2 linked regions of the Saccharomyces cerevisiae S288C genome follow. The protein of the gene in region 2 binds, or shares a complex with, the protein of the main gene of each other region. Each region holds a gene or a part of one and is shown on either strand. Other genes may lie near its edges. A codon is read from its position in the direction of its gene.

What was found.
Region 1: the proteins of TFS1 (region 2) and PRC1 are in contact, whole or in part, in a crystal structure (PDB 1WPX), measured with the Saccharomyces cerevisiae proteins. Residues at the interface, in NP_013279.1 of Saccharomyces cerevisiae: Met1 (codon at 4,228), Asn2 (codon at 4,225), Gln3 (codon at 4,222), Ala4 (codon at 4,219), Ile5 (codon at 4,216), Phe7 (codon at 4,210), Ala10 (codon at 4,201), Ser11 (codon at 4,198), Asp13 (codon at 4,192), Ser14 (codon at 4,189), Lys17 (codon at 4,180), His18 (codon at 4,177), Ile35 (codon at 4,126), Ala37 (codon at 4,120), Val38 (codon at 4,117), Glu39 (codon at 4,114), Pro45 (codon at 4,096), Val46 (codon at 4,093), Ala47 (codon at 4,090), Met48 (codon at 4,087), Gly49 (codon at 4,084), Asn50 (codon at 4,081), Thr51 (codon at 4,078), Gln62 (codon at 4,045), Phe63 (codon at 4,042), Gln64 (codon at 4,039), Thr66 (codon at 4,033), Asn68 (codon at 4,027), Gln70 (codon at 4,021), Phe133 (codon at 3,832); in NP_014026.1 of Saccharomyces cerevisiae: Gly164 (codon at 2,366), Ser217 (codon at 2,525), Ser221 (codon at 2,537), Ser257 (codon at 2,645), Tyr258 (codon at 2,648), Leu289 (codon at 2,741), Arg327 (codon at 2,855), Leu331 (codon at 2,867), Val341 (codon at 2,897), Trp342 (codon at 2,900), Val345 (codon at 2,909), Pro346 (codon at 2,912), Thr348 (codon at 2,918), Ile349 (codon at 2,921), Tyr350 (codon at 2,924), Asn352 (codon at 2,930), Asn353 (codon at 2,933), Leu356 (codon at 2,942), Ala357 (codon at 2,945), Gln360 (codon at 2,954), Arg361 (codon at 2,957), Val366 (codon at 2,972), Tyr367 (codon at 2,975), Cys373 (codon at 2,993), Asn377 (codon at 3,005), Cys379 (codon at 3,011), Cys409 (codon at 3,101), Asn410 (codon at 3,104), Phe411 (codon at 3,107), Asp412 (codon at 3,110).

The regions. Positions count from the first base shown.
Region 1 is NC_001145.3:860,046-864,020, forward strand, and holds PRC1 (carboxypeptidase C PRC1), read left to right. Parts: upstream 1-1,876; coding exon 1,877-3,475; downstream 3,476-3,975. Other genes in the region: serine C-palmitoyltransferase LCB1, read right to left, coding at 1-846; sphingosine N-acyltransferase subunit LIP1, read left to right, coding at 3,774-3,975. UniProt on the Saccharomyces cerevisiae protein: Vacuolar serine-type carboxypeptidase involved in degradation of small peptides. Digests preferentially peptides containing an aliphatic or hydrophobic residue in P1' position, as well as methionine, leucine or phenylalanine in P1 position of ester substrate.
Region 2 is NC_001144.5:509,594-520,082, forward strand, and holds TFS1 (Tfs1p), read right to left. Parts: upstream 4,229-10,489; coding exon 3,569-4,228; downstream 1-3,568. Other genes in the region: RFX1 (Rfx1p), read right to left, coding at 1-639; YLR177W (uncharacterized protein), read left to right, coding at 1,461-3,347; YLR179C (uncharacterized protein), read right to left, coding at 4,515-5,120; methionine adenosyltransferase SAM1, read left to right, coding at 5,669-6,817; VTA1 (Vta1p), read right to left, coding at 7,085-8,077; transcriptional regulator SWI6, read left to right, coding at 8,347-10,489. UniProt on the Saccharomyces cerevisiae protein: Specific and potent inhibitor of carboxypeptidase Y.

The sequences.
Region 1 (3,975 bases), on a different chromosome or scaffold from region 2:
GGCGGGCAGTTTCTCAAGTTTCTCCTGTTCGGTCAACTCGTTTAATAAACATTCTAGCGAATTCATATCGTTGTGGTTGAAGTAGTAGACTGTGGATCTGCTTAGTTGCAGAGCATTTTGCACTGGTAATGACACCTGGTCGTCTGCCACGATAACATCACCACGCTTTGTGAAAGCAGGCAGAACAGAGGGTGCGGCACAAAAGTCTTGCCCGTACAGAACGGAACCTTGGGTGCCAAAGAACTGTGCTAAATCATATTCCAACGTGTAATGAACGTCCTGGTTACCGTAGAACCCGGCGGGACCACAGGCGCCCACACCGTAATTCTTGATAGTGGTCTTGACCACTTCTTTCACGGGCTCCGTAGCGGACAATTGCAAAAAGTTGTTCGAGGCCAAATTGAAAACATTGGTATACTTCTCCTGCAGGTTGTTTCTGGTGATAGTAATATGGTTCTGAATGGGCATTTCCATGGTGACGGGTGTTTTGGCCACCCTCCACGATTGCTCATCGGTGGCAGAAGGGTCGACTAGAGGCTCGGGCTCCCAGTCCTCAATTAGCGCGTCAATCTCCTGGGGCGATAGGTTGGGCTTCTGTGCTTGAAGACTCTTTTTCTGTTGTGGCTTGGACAAGTAATAGATGATCCCGTATAAAATAAGCCCTATCTCAACCGTGGTCCTGTATGGATCGTCATGATGCGATTTCTTGATGTACGAAACGATGAATTGGCCTCCCGGGATTTGAGTCAACACCAGATTGAAGTAGTACCATAGGTACGATGAGGTGGTAACAATAAATGCCGGAATCGGTATTGATTTGGGTAAAACCTCTGGGATGTGTGCCATTGCTTTTTTTTTTTGGGTGGGAAGGAAGAAAAAAGGATAAATAACCCTACACGAGCAAAATGTGTATATTGGAGGCCAGGCAGAAGGTTAGAGCGCTCTTATACTGTGCTACTCGATGATGTTGAAAAGAATTTTTTTTATTTTTCCTTTTCTTTTTCTTAAGTACTATATTTTCTCAATCTTACTTTCGTTCACTACAGTTAACCGCAGCAATATGCCCCTATAAAAAAGAATGAGTGAAAAATTTGTTAGCAGAGAAGCAAGAAGGAAAGAAGGAAAAAAAAAAGAAACCGTGTAAGAAATCATGGCGCCTCAAAAAAAAAAAAATACGCGAAATCGATTTCCGTATATGATGATACATATGTTAGGTCTCTTATGGTAGTTTTTAGGGTCTGTCCTGTTTTTTGAAGGCATTGGTTAGGGTCTAGTAAGTAACTCGTATAAAGAGATGTACTTTTATACGGTATGTGTGGCGGTTATTTCCAGTGTTTTTTTTCCCTTATTTTGTGGGTTCATGGAAATAGTACATATTGACCTTCTGCACAAGAAGCCATATTGACAGAGCAGTATGTGAGGACCTTTCTTCTACACAATGTAACAGTCAATGGTTGTAGTCAATACCACGACCTTTACGTGCAGTTTTAGAGCGAAACTTCGGTTTTTTGAGACTTACCTCGTGTTTGTGTCTCCCTGGGAATGGAGCCGCGCCACCCTTGTCTATTATGTATAGTCTTATTTAATCATAGCGATGTTGGTCATCCAGTACACTTCGGTAGCAACCTTCGTTTGTGATTGTCTTGGTAATTGCTTCCAACAACTTTATCCATCATTGAGACAGGGGCCATATCACCCGCGGGGTCTCAAAGAAGGGGCCCACTAATAAAAGCACGAGATAAGAATGCCAGCAAAAAAGCTCCGAAATAATTCTTTTCGTCTTCCCTCCTAGTCTTAACAAGACAAGAGAGAGAGAGAGAAAGAATACTCACTAGAGATTGTTTCTTTTCTACTCAACTTAAAGTATACATACGCTATGAAAGCATTCACCAGTTTACTATGTGGACTAGGCCTGTCCACTACACTCGCTAAGGCCATCTCATTGCAAAGACCGTTGGGTCTAGATAAGGACGTTTTGCTGCAAGCTGCGGAAAAATTTGGTTTGGACCTCGACCTGGATCATCTCTTGAAGGAGTTGGACTCCAATGTATTGGACGCTTGGGCCCAAATAGAGCATTTGTACCCAAACCAGGTTATGAGCCTTGAAACTTCCACTAAGCCAAAATTCCCTGAAGCAATCAAAACGAAGAAAGACTGGGACTTTGTGGTCAAGAATGACGCAATTGAAAACTATCAGCTTCGTGTCAACAAGATTAAGGACCCTAAAATCCTGGGCATTGACCCAAATGTCACACAGTACACGGGTTACTTGGATGTGGAAGACGAGGACAAGCATTTCTTCTTTTGGACTTTTGAAAGTAGAAACGATCCTGCAAAGGATCCGGTCATCCTTTGGTTGAACGGGGGTCCAGGTTGTTCTTCACTAACCGGGCTGTTCTTTGAATTAGGACCCTCATCCATTGGACCTGATTTGAAACCCATCGGGAACCCTTACTCTTGGAACAGCAATGCCACCGTGATCTTCCTTGACCAGCCTGTCAACGTTGGGTTCTCGTATTCCGGGTCCTCAGGTGTTTCCAACACTGTCGCCGCTGGTAAGGATGTCTATAACTTCTTGGAGTTGTTCTTCGATCAGTTCCCTGAATACGTCAACAAGGGCCAAGATTTCCACATCGCTGGGGAATCCTACGCCGGCCATTACATCCCTGTTTTTGCCTCTGAAATTTTGTCTCACAAGGACAGAAACTTCAACTTAACCTCCGTCTTGATCGGAAATGGCCTCACTGACCCATTGACTCAGTATAACTATTACGAACCAATGGCCTGTGGTGAAGGTGGCGAACCATCTGTTTTGCCCTCGGAGGAATGCTCTGCTATGGAAGACTCTTTGGAACGTTGTTTGGGCTTGATCGAGTCGTGCTATGACTCGCAATCCGTCTGGTCCTGTGTTCCAGCTACCATTTATTGTAATAACGCCCAATTGGCTCCTTACCAACGTACCGGCAGAAACGTTTACGATATCAGGAAGGATTGTGAAGGTGGCAATTTGTGCTACCCAACGTTACAAGATATCGACGACTACTTAAACCAGGACTACGTCAAAGAAGCTGTCGGTGCGGAGGTTGACCACTACGAATCCTGTAACTTCGATATCAACAGAAATTTCCTGTTTGCGGGTGATTGGATGAAGCCTTACCACACCGCCGTAACAGATCTTTTGAATCAAGACCTACCCATTCTGGTATATGCAGGCGATAAAGATTTCATCTGTAACTGGTTGGGTAATAAGGCGTGGACGGATGTCTTGCCATGGAAGTACGACGAAGAATTTGCAAGCCAAAAAGTACGTAACTGGACTGCTTCTATCACCGACGAGGTCGCTGGTGAAGTCAAATCCTACAAGCACTTCACCTATTTGAGAGTCTTCAATGGTGGCCACATGGTTCCATTTGACGTCCCTGAAAACGCCTTAAGTATGGTTAACGAATGGATCCACGGTGGTTTCTCCTTATAAAGCGTGTATGTGTAGGCATACCGTTTTTATTATCAGCTACGATCGAAATATATACGTTTTTATCTATGTTACGTTATATATTGTAGTCTTAACCATTTGTAAGTTTTGCTTCTTTTCTTTTATTCATTTCATAACATCATACTGTTTTACGTAATACCATCCTTAACTTTTTCCACCGAAGGGGAGGAAGAACTAAATTCTAGAAAAATGAAACCATTAAAAAAAAAGAAAACAATAGAGCTGCTTCTACAATTTTGCACATCAAAAAAGACCTCCAACTACCGAGTTTGTAAGTACAATGTCTCAACCCACTCCCATCATAACTACAAAATCAGCTGCTAAGCCAAAACCAAAAATTTTTAATTTATTCCGCGTTTGCTTCATTTCATTATTGCTGATCGCTGCGGTTGAATACTTCAAGTATGGTACAAGAATTAACTATGAATGGTTCCATTGTACCCCAATCAAAGAACCCCAGTCTGGCTCAGTAATCAAGCTTT
Region 2 (10,489 bases):
GCTTGTTTTCTGTTTTTTCGTACTGCTTGGAATTGAGGGGAAGGTATTGGTACGTTTGGCAGCAGTAGGAGGATTATTGTTTAAGGTTTCCTCTGACTTGAAAGAAAGTGGGTAAGCAGATGAATTCGATCTATTCAGGCTGATAGACGCTGGATACACTGAGTATGTGGCAGGTTGCCGTTGTGTTGCGGGTTGTGCAGGAGGCTGTGTAGGGGTAGGAGATGGTTTATGGGAGCCGGGACCACTACCGATAAGTGGCGGTAATATTGGATTTGGCGTCTCCGGGCGGGGGGAACTTTGGTGTAGCAGGCTGTATATTGACGATGATTTGCTCGCTATGGGCGGGATATTCACTGACATGGGGGGCAAATAAGTGTGTGATGCTGGCGGTGGTTGGCTGCTGTACTTGGGTGCGTTTAAACTGTACCGATTACTGTTTACCGAAGATCCGTTACTTGGACCGTTGCTATTGTCGTTCGAGCCCCGACTAGTAGGTTCAATGTTATTATCACCGGACATGGGCAAATAAAATTCAAAATAATGAACAGACAAAAAACTAGGCGAGAAGATGAAGTACTTGGCAGGTATTTTTCTAGTGAAAAGGTTTTCTGTTGGTTTGCGTTCTTTGAAGATTACCATTTACTGCTATTTTTTTTTTCAACTTTTTCCCAAATCGCCATGACAACACGAAACGACAGGAGAAAAATTACGAAATCAAAAACAGGTTCAACTGTTGCAGCAATAGACACCACAAACGTGCGCAAGAAACCGCAACGAAGGGGAGGTGACCGTGCTTGAAATAAAATCCGAAGATCCATAGGTGAGCCACGAGTTTGATTCCAAACTCGTGGTTTTACCAACGAAGCTGTATATCGTGGAGTGGCGCTACCATTGGACCTTCGTTTCTTCTTTCCCTCTTCCGCACCGTACCAGATAGGAAAAACCGCACCTTCGTTTTTGCATACCTAGATGGTCCTGTAACAAGAATAGAGCTAAAGAAACAAGTATGCGTCGACTGCTGCCACGCCCGGCTGATTTAGGTGCACATCAGCTACCCAGCATACAAAGGGGCTTCCGTACGGTTGATGGTTATTTTTCTTGGTGTGTTGGTGCTGCTGTATCGCTGGTGCTGTCTGCGTTATTACGACTATCGTAGGACAAGGCCTCGAGAGGTGTAGGGTAAATCCCACTTGCACAAAGTATGTACACACTTGATTATCCAAATACCAAGAGAGTGTGGTTCAATTTACGGGCAGCTCGAGCTGCCCGTAAATTGAACCTTCCCCTTCCCCACGCTCAAGGGGTTCCTGCGCCGGTGTTTCAGGGGCAGGACACGCGGGGATCGCTGGCACAGTATATAAACAATAAAAGAACAATGGAGAGAGGAGGCGCCATTCAATATCAGCTCACTAGAGTGCATAGACGTATAGACACAGGAATAAAGATAGAAATAGGGTACCATGGAGCTGCCTTCAATAAATAGCACCACAAGTATATCCGACAACCAGGAGTTAAGGAATTACTATGACAAGTTGCTGTTCAAGAACAATAGTGGCAAGTCGCTAGCGGATTTGCCAGGAAAAATGGCAGATTTTAACGACAACAGCGCTGCTGCGCATCCCCGCTCCAGAGTTGACTTTATCAACGGTTACATCGGTTTCAGAGAGGATAAGCAGTCTCTTCTGGGGCAGAAGAACACTAAAAGGGCCTCGTTCAGCGCATTTGCGGACGAAGGAAGGAAACAGAGCGAGATGAGCATTAACGGGAAGAGCCCTAATTTGTCTCTTTTCTCATTTGAGTTTAACGGCACCCCGACTCAGGACAGAAAGCCATACAAACAGGATTACTTGAATGTGATGAACACTTCGCCTAACAATATTCTTTCTCCCTTAAACAACAGCTCCCAAAAATACTATCCACAGAAACAGCAGCAGCAGCAGCAGCAGCAGCAGCAGCAACAGCAACAAAGCATCTTTGACCCGGGAAGAAGATCTTCCTATATTTCTGATGCGCTGATTCATGGCAATGCGGCTACCCAGCAACCACAATACTCGCAACCTGTATATATTAACAACAACCCATCTTTGCAAGTACCATACACTGCTCCTTCCGAGTATACTCAGCAGCAACAGTACTCGTCACCCTTCAATGCTAGGCGCAACACCCAGCCAGTGCTGAACTTGCATCCGGCAGCCGCTCCCACAAACGATGCCGGATTGGCGGTTGTCGACGGCAAGAATTTGACGTCATCCAAGGAGCTGCATGACTTATATCTTGACTGCGGGTCAAACTATTTTGCTAGTGATAAAGTTTATAAATTTATTGACAGCATAAAGGGAACTTTACGCGGGGATAATGTCTCCGCCTCCAGTTCCAGGATTATAGAGTTTTTGGATTTTTTGAAAAATTGTAATCTGAATTACAACCCACAGTCTGACGCATTCATCTCCACTGCTGTTTCAAACGCTTCGTCGACCGGGGCGGCCAAATCCAAGAACAGCACTTCAATGCATTTGCACTATAAGCCATTAGTGTTAGTATCGTTGAAAAATGGTAAGCTCGAACTGTTGTCTAAACCACAAACGGCCACACTTATACTGAAAAGGGGCGATTTGGTCATTATTGATGGTGATCGTGGTAAAGATTTAGTTTTGGTGGTGGAACCGGTTGTAGATATAAATTTGGCACTATTTATAAATTTTTTGAAGAAAAAAATTCACTTTGATTCTCTAATCACCAATAGTCAACAGCATTTCCCCAATGACCAGTTTATCAAGACTCTGGTTGATACAACCAATGGTAAGCCGGTCGCTCATGAGTTGAATCCGAAGTTATATGATATCATTGAACTAACGCAATTGATCATCCCATCAAAGCAGGTTCTGAGATTTGCCACCCCGTGGGAATCCTCCACGAATTTACACAACAAATTCCAGGATGAGCTAAAGGCTCTTCACATTGCACAGCTAAAACTGAGGTCGCTAAATAACAATAACTCCGGTGGCGGGTTGAACATCAAAATATTGAATGCAGAGTTCCAATTCGACAGAAAGAAATTGACTTTCTACTACATTTGCCAGGAGCGTAATGATTTCAGAGACCTGATCAAAGAACTCTTTAAGTTTTACAAAACAAGAATTTGGCTTTGTGCTATACCGAACAATTTATCGATAGATTCCAAATTTTATGATTCAAACAAGTTTGAGTGGGAGATGTATCAGGATATGATGTCCCACTATTCCATGGACAACACTGGAATTGTCGTGGCCCCTGAACTGAATCGCTTGAAACTGGACGACTTCCAGATCGGTGTTTATATGGAATTGGTGAAGGTTTTGTTCGGCTAACCCAAACTTATATAATCATTATAAACATTTTATAAACTTATACACTTTTTTAATAATCTCACCATGTTTTTCTTATGTGTTTTGTTTGACAATGACATTACTCCCTACAAACATGTGCGCGTTTGTGACAAAAACATAAATAAAACAAAAATAATAAAAAGTCAAGTGAAAAGCACTGAAATCTAAAAAATAAATACATATACATATATATATATATATACCTATTTCGTTTCCGCATAGAAGAAATTGGAGGCAACTAGTTGCAGGTTGTTTTCCTTAGCCCATTTGCCAACACCGGTGGCAGGGGTGCCGTAACCCCAGTTCGGTCTATCCTTAATTTTCGAGAACTTAGATGAGTCCACGCCCTTAGGCTGCTTATATAACAAGAAAACATATCTGTGGGGACCGGATCCCTTGGGTGGAGCTGGTCCCATATATTCTATTAGTGTGTTCGAGCCCTTCGTATTGAACTCTGATGCAAAAAATTCGGTTGCTCCGGAGGTCTCGTGAGTAGCCTCATTCAACAGCTTTAAGTCGCATTCTACCAAGTGGCAGAATTCAGACCACTTGTGATCTGTCTTAGAGGGAGCATCCGGATCGGTCATTACCAGTGTGAACAAATCGTCGTCTTGGGGAACGTACGCATTCGCCTGTGGTACGCTTTTTTGCATTTGCTTATTGAACGTGAACTGGAATTGGGGCTTGGAACGTGCCTTCTCAGTGGGCAGCGTGTTACCCATGGCAACAGGTGCACTTGATGAGTACTCTACGGCAAGTATCCCGGAGGGTTGAAAGCTTGTGTCATGAATTACATCCTCCAGAATGCCGTGCTTCTTGTAGGAGTCAATGCTTGCTTGTGCGAAGTCTATTGCTTGGTTCATGTTTTTTGCTTGTTCTCTTGTTCTTGTATTGATGCACTGGTAGGGAAAAGGAGCACTGCAATTCGTTTCTTGCTGCCCCCTTTTTATATACCAATTGAGATCTTTCCTTCCCTGAACAGCCCCTCTATCCCTTAAAAGATAGAAAAGTTCAAAGGGATAGGAAAAATCAACGAGCCAAAAAAAAAAAAAACGGAACCGTTCGGCATGTATATATTCACTATTTCATATACGCGTTTGCACAATATACTCTATCTTATCCGTATCTATACGAGCCGGTTGCTGCACCTTACATGTCATAGTTGAAATCAACGGTCGTGTTTTCGACCATGTAATAATTGGCACCGACCAGTTGCAGATTGTTCTCCTTGATATAGTCATAGGCACCCGCACCAGGAGTACCGTACCCCCAGGAGATAATGTTCTCAACCTTGGTAAAAGTGGACGAATCCGCTCCCTTGGGTTGCTTGCACAGGAAGAACACGTATCTGTGATAACCGGAGTTCTTTGGTGGACCAGGCCCAATATAGTTATTTCTCACGACACCCTTCCCCGAAATGGCAATATCTCCCCCAGGTCCGTACTCGACAGGAATATCAGTGATGATGTAGTGACAAACCTCCGACCACTTATGTTCTGTTCTAGAGGGCGCGTCCGGGTCAGTCATCAACAAAGCGAGTTTATCCTCGGCTGACAATTGGCTTTTATCGAAGGGCGTGAACTTGATGGTAGGAGCGGCTTGCGTAGCTTCCATTGGCATGGGATTGCCCAATTTGATGTCGTCAGAATCAACGTACGAAACCGACAACTCACCAAGAATCTCGAACGCCAAGTCCTTGACGGTGTCCTTAATGATGTCCTCTTTGTTCAGTTTAGCAACGATGGCACTAGACATAATATATATTTCTATTACTAAGTACTCGGATGGGTACCGAAAGTGGCAGATGGGCAGTGTTTACTCAAACAATTGATGGCAACATTCAATTCCTCACCTGGTGCGCACTTCCAATAATGAGCACGCTTGGCACTTTTATATTGTTCAAAAAAATGTCAGGCAAGATCTTTTGAAAAAAAGGTACCGAAACGGACGTAAGACGGAAATAGAATTTGAAGATAAAGTTATATATCACTACACACGAATACTTTCTTTTTTTTTTTTCACAGGAAAACTGTGGTGGCGCCCTTGCCTACTAGTGCATTTCTTTTTTCGGGTTCTTGTCTCGAGGAAATTTTAGCCTCATCGTAGTTTTTCACTCTGGTATCGATGAAAAAGGGAAGAGTAAAAAGTTTTCCGTTTAGTACTTAATGGGATTGGTTTGGGACGTATATATCGACTGGTGTTGTCTGTTATTCATCGTTGTTTTTCGGTTAGCTTCGAAAAAAAAATAGAGTAAAAACCAGGAATTTACCCTAAAAACAAGAAAAAATAAGATAAACGAAAATATGGCCGGTACATTTTTATTCACTTCTGAATCCGTTGGTGAAGGTCACCCAGATAAGATCTGTGACCAAGTTTCCGACGCCATCTTGGACGCTTGTTTAGCCGAGGACCCTCACTCCAAAGTTGCGTGTGAAACCGCGGCAAAGACTGGTATGATTATGGTCTTTGGTGAAATTACTACCAAGGCACAGTTGGATTACCAAAAAATCGTCAGAGACACCATCAAGAAGATTGGTTACGATGATTCCGCCAAGGGTTTCGACTATAAGACCTGTAACGTCCTTGTCGCCATTGAGCAACAATCTCCAGATATCGCCCAAGGTGTCCACGAGGAGAAGGATTTGGAAGACATCGGTGCCGGTGACCAAGGTATCATGTTTGGTTACGCCACAGATGAAACTCCAGAGGGTTTGCCTTTGACTATTCTTTTGGCTCATAAACTAAACATGGCCATGGCTGACGCGAGAAGAGATGGCTCTTTAGCGTGGTTGAGACCAGACACCAAGACTCAAGTCACCGTCGAATACAAGGATGACCACGGTAGATGGGTTCCACAAAGAATCGACACCGTCGTCGTCTCCGCTCAACATGCTGACGAAATCACGACCGAGGACTTAAGAGCGCAACTAAAGTCCGAGATCATTGAAAAAGTCATCCCAAGAGACATGTTGGACGAAAACACCAAATACTTTATCCAACCTTCCGGTAGATTCGTCATCGGTGGTCCTCAAGGTGACGCTGGTTTGACCGGTAGAAAGATCATCGTCGACGCTTACGGTGGTGCCTCATCCGTCGGTGGTGGTGCCTTCTCCGGTAAGGACTACTCTAAGGTTGATCGTTCTGCCGCTTATGCCGCTAGATGGGTTGCCAAGTCCCTAGTTGCCGCTGGTTTATGTAAGAGAGTTCAAGTTCAATTTTCTTATGCCATCGGTATTGCGGAACCATTGTCCTTGCACGTTGACACCTATGGTACTGCGACCAAGTCTGACGAAGAAATTATCGACATTATCAGCAAGAACTTTGACTTGAGACCTGGTGTATTGGTCAAGGAGTTGGACTTAGCTAGACCAATCTACTTGCCAACCGCTTCTTATGGCCATTTCACAAACCAAGAATACCCATGGGAAAAGCCTAAGACTTTGAAGTTCTAAGCTTTTTTCCTTTTGGACTTTTTTCTGCCTTCAACCTCCCATGTTTTCATTTGCTCAACACAAGTCAACATGTACATTATACCGTATTTGATGCAGGGACGCAATACCATCATATTCTTGATATAGACTCATTTTTCTCAAATCAAATTTGTATCGATTTCATTTTGCATTATACAGGATTCCTTTTCCTTTCTAACATTTAATACGTAACTACTAATATTAATATATACCTCCTTCAACGGATCAACAAACCAAACTTTATCTTATTCAAATAGAATTTAACAGATCCAACGCCTTAGTTAACTCATCTTTGGCGGTGGGCAGGTCTTCATAATTCAATGCGCTTATGGCGTATTTGGCAAGTTTTTGAATTTGCTCTATTTTACTGGCCCTGTCCATAATTTTTGTCAACTCATCCTTTGTATACGATTTATGCTCTGCTGCAGCAGGTTCTGATGGTGCAGAAGGGCGCGTAAGATCCACTTCTTTCTTCACAACTTGTTGTTCGTCTTTTGTTATTGCATCTTCGTTCTTGTCGACGGTCTGTTCTTCTTCGTTTACGCTATCGGCATCATCAATAAATTCAGGTACCTCATCCACAGGCTCGTATGATGTTGTTTGGTCTTTTGGGGCTAGGCCTTCGACTTTATCATTATTATTGTTTTCCAAATCGCTTGTCTGGTGATCAACATCTTCATCCTTAATCTCCTCGCTATCATCCGCAAAATCTGCATAATCTAACGTTTTCTCGTCGCTGGAACCAATTTCACCCTTTGCCAATTTACTCAAATAAATTTTGCAATACTTAATTCGTTTTTGTAATGAATTTGTACTCGTTTCACTTATATTTTCCTTCCACAGGTGTAAAATGCATGAAAATAAATCAATACAACACCAAAGTGATCTTTTTAACATAACATCCCAGGGACCATCTTTTAGCTGTTTCAGTTTCTCGTTATACAACGACATTGTAAAATTTAGCATATAAATTTTGGCTTTTTCTTGATCATGTATTAGCGTGTTCATAACGTGTAAGCTTTTGTCACTGTCTTCTGCTTCACTCTCGCCGCCAATCTCCTTCTTAAACGCTTCAATAGTATCAAGAAGTTCTGTCGCTAGTGCGGTCATCTCTTGCGACCGATCTTCTTCACTCAGTATCAATTCCACCGCATATAACTGAAGATAGTATCCGATGATCCCTAACCCAACTTTGTCAAAATCCTTCGCTGTAGCGACAACCCTTGCAGCGTTACTAGCCATAGAATTTATTTAAAATGTGGACAATTAGTTTCTAAAAATTGAATCAAATAAAATAAGAAAGCTTATTGTTCCTTTTTTTGTCTTCATCTGGACCGTTTGGATAAGATCATTCACCAAATCTTAGTTTTTTTTTTTAGTTTCCTTCTCCAACGATTTCATAATAATAAAAAAAAACAACAAAAAACACGATTGAGAAACATCAATATGAACTAAGCAATAGCTAAAAAAAAAAGAATAATAAAGGGGAACACAGTATAATTCTCGAGAGGATGGCGTTGGAAGAAGTGGTACGATACTTAGGACCTCACAATGAGATCCCTTTGACACTCACTAGAGACTCGGAGACTGGCCATTTCCTCCTGAAACATTTTCTGCCCATTTTGCAGCAATATCATGACACGGGGAATATTAACGAGACCAACCCCGATAGTTTCCCCACTGATGAGGAAAGAAATAAATTACTGGCACATTATGGAATTGCTGTAAATACAGACGACCGAGGTGAGTTATGGATAGAGCTGGAAAAATGTTTACAATTATTAAACATGCTAAATTTATTCGGTTTGTTCCAGGATGCATTCGAATTTGAGGAGCCTGAAACAGATCAGGATGAAGAAGATCCCAGCCATTCGAAACTACCAGAAAACAAGACCAAAAGTGAAAATTCTAAGGATAATATCAGCTCAAAGAGGATTAATAATTTACAAGATATGAGCCTGGATTCTGATGCACACAGAGAATTAGGCTCTCCTTTAAAAAAACTAAAAATAGATACCTCTGTAATAGATGCTGAGAGTGACTCCACTCCGAATACTGCCAGAGGCAAGCCTAACGATGATATTAATAAGGGCCCTAGCGGCGACAATGAAAATAATGGCACTGATGACAATGACAGAACCGCTGGACCTATCATAACATTCACTCATGACCTAACTTCTGACTTTTTAAGCAGTCCACTGAAAATCATGAAAGCACTACCTTCTCCAGTTGTAAATGATAATGAACAGAAGATGAAACTAGAGGCATTCTTACAACGGTTGTTATTTCCAGAAATTCAAGAAATGCCTACATCCCTTAATAATGACAGCAGTAATAGAAATTCAGAAGGGGGGAGCTCAAACCAACAACAACAGCACGTATCATTTGATAGCCTTTTGCAAGAGGTAAACGACGCTTTTCCTAATACTCAATTAAATCTTAATATTCCTGTAGATGAGCATGGAAACACACCATTACATTGGCTGACTTCAATAGCAAACCTGGAATTAGTGAAACACCTGGTTAAGCATGGTTCAAACAGATTATATGGTGATAATATGGGGGAGTCATGCCTAGTGAAAGCTGTCAAATCAGTAAATAATTACGACTCTGGTACTTTTGAGGCACTTCTAGATTATTTATATCCATGTTTAATTTTGGAAGACTCAATGAATAGAACAATTTTGCACCATATCATTATTACGTCTGGTATGACTGGCTGTTCAGCAGCTGCGAAATATTATTTAGATATTTTAATGGGATGGATTGTCAAGAAACAAAATAGACCCATTCAAAGTGGTACTAACGAAAAAGAAAGCAAACCGAATGACAAAAATGGGGAAAGAAAGGACTCTATACTAGAAAATTTGGACCTGAAATGGATAATAGCAAACATGCTCAATGCGCAGGACTCTAATGGCGATACTTGCTTGAACATTGCAGCAAGATTGGGAAACATTTCAATAGTAGACGCTTTATTAGATTACGGTGCTGACCCATTTATTGCAAACAAATCAGGGTTGAGACCCGTGGATTTTGGGGCAGGTACTTCAAAATTACAAAATACGAACGGCGGTGACGAAAACTCGAAGATGGTCTCTAAGGGTGATTACGACGGTCAAAAAAATGGAAAGGCCAAAAAAATAAGGTCTCAACTGTTGAAAAACCCACCTGAAACAACTTCGTTAATTAATGATGTCCAAAATTTACTGAATTCAATCTCGAAAGATTATGAGAATGAAACAGTGCAATATAATGAGAAATTAGAAAAACTACACAAGGAATTGAACGAACAGCGAGAAGAATTAGCTAATTCTAGAGAACAACTAGCAAATGTGAAGCAATTGAAAGATGAATACTCACTAATGCAAGAGCAATTGACCAATTTAAAAGCAGGAATTGAAGAAGAAGAGGAAAGTTTTAGGGAAGAGAGCAAAAAGCTAGGAATAATTGCAGATGAAAGTTCAGGTATTGATTGGGACTCTAGCGAATATGATGCAGATGAACCCTTCAAAGTAGAGTTCCTTTCAGATTTCTTGGAGGATAAATTACAAAAGAATTATGAAGGCGATATTTCCAAACTATTAGAAGCGGAGTCGAAAGAGCAGATAATGGAACAGATACGAAATCAACTTCCCGCAGAAAAAATCCAAT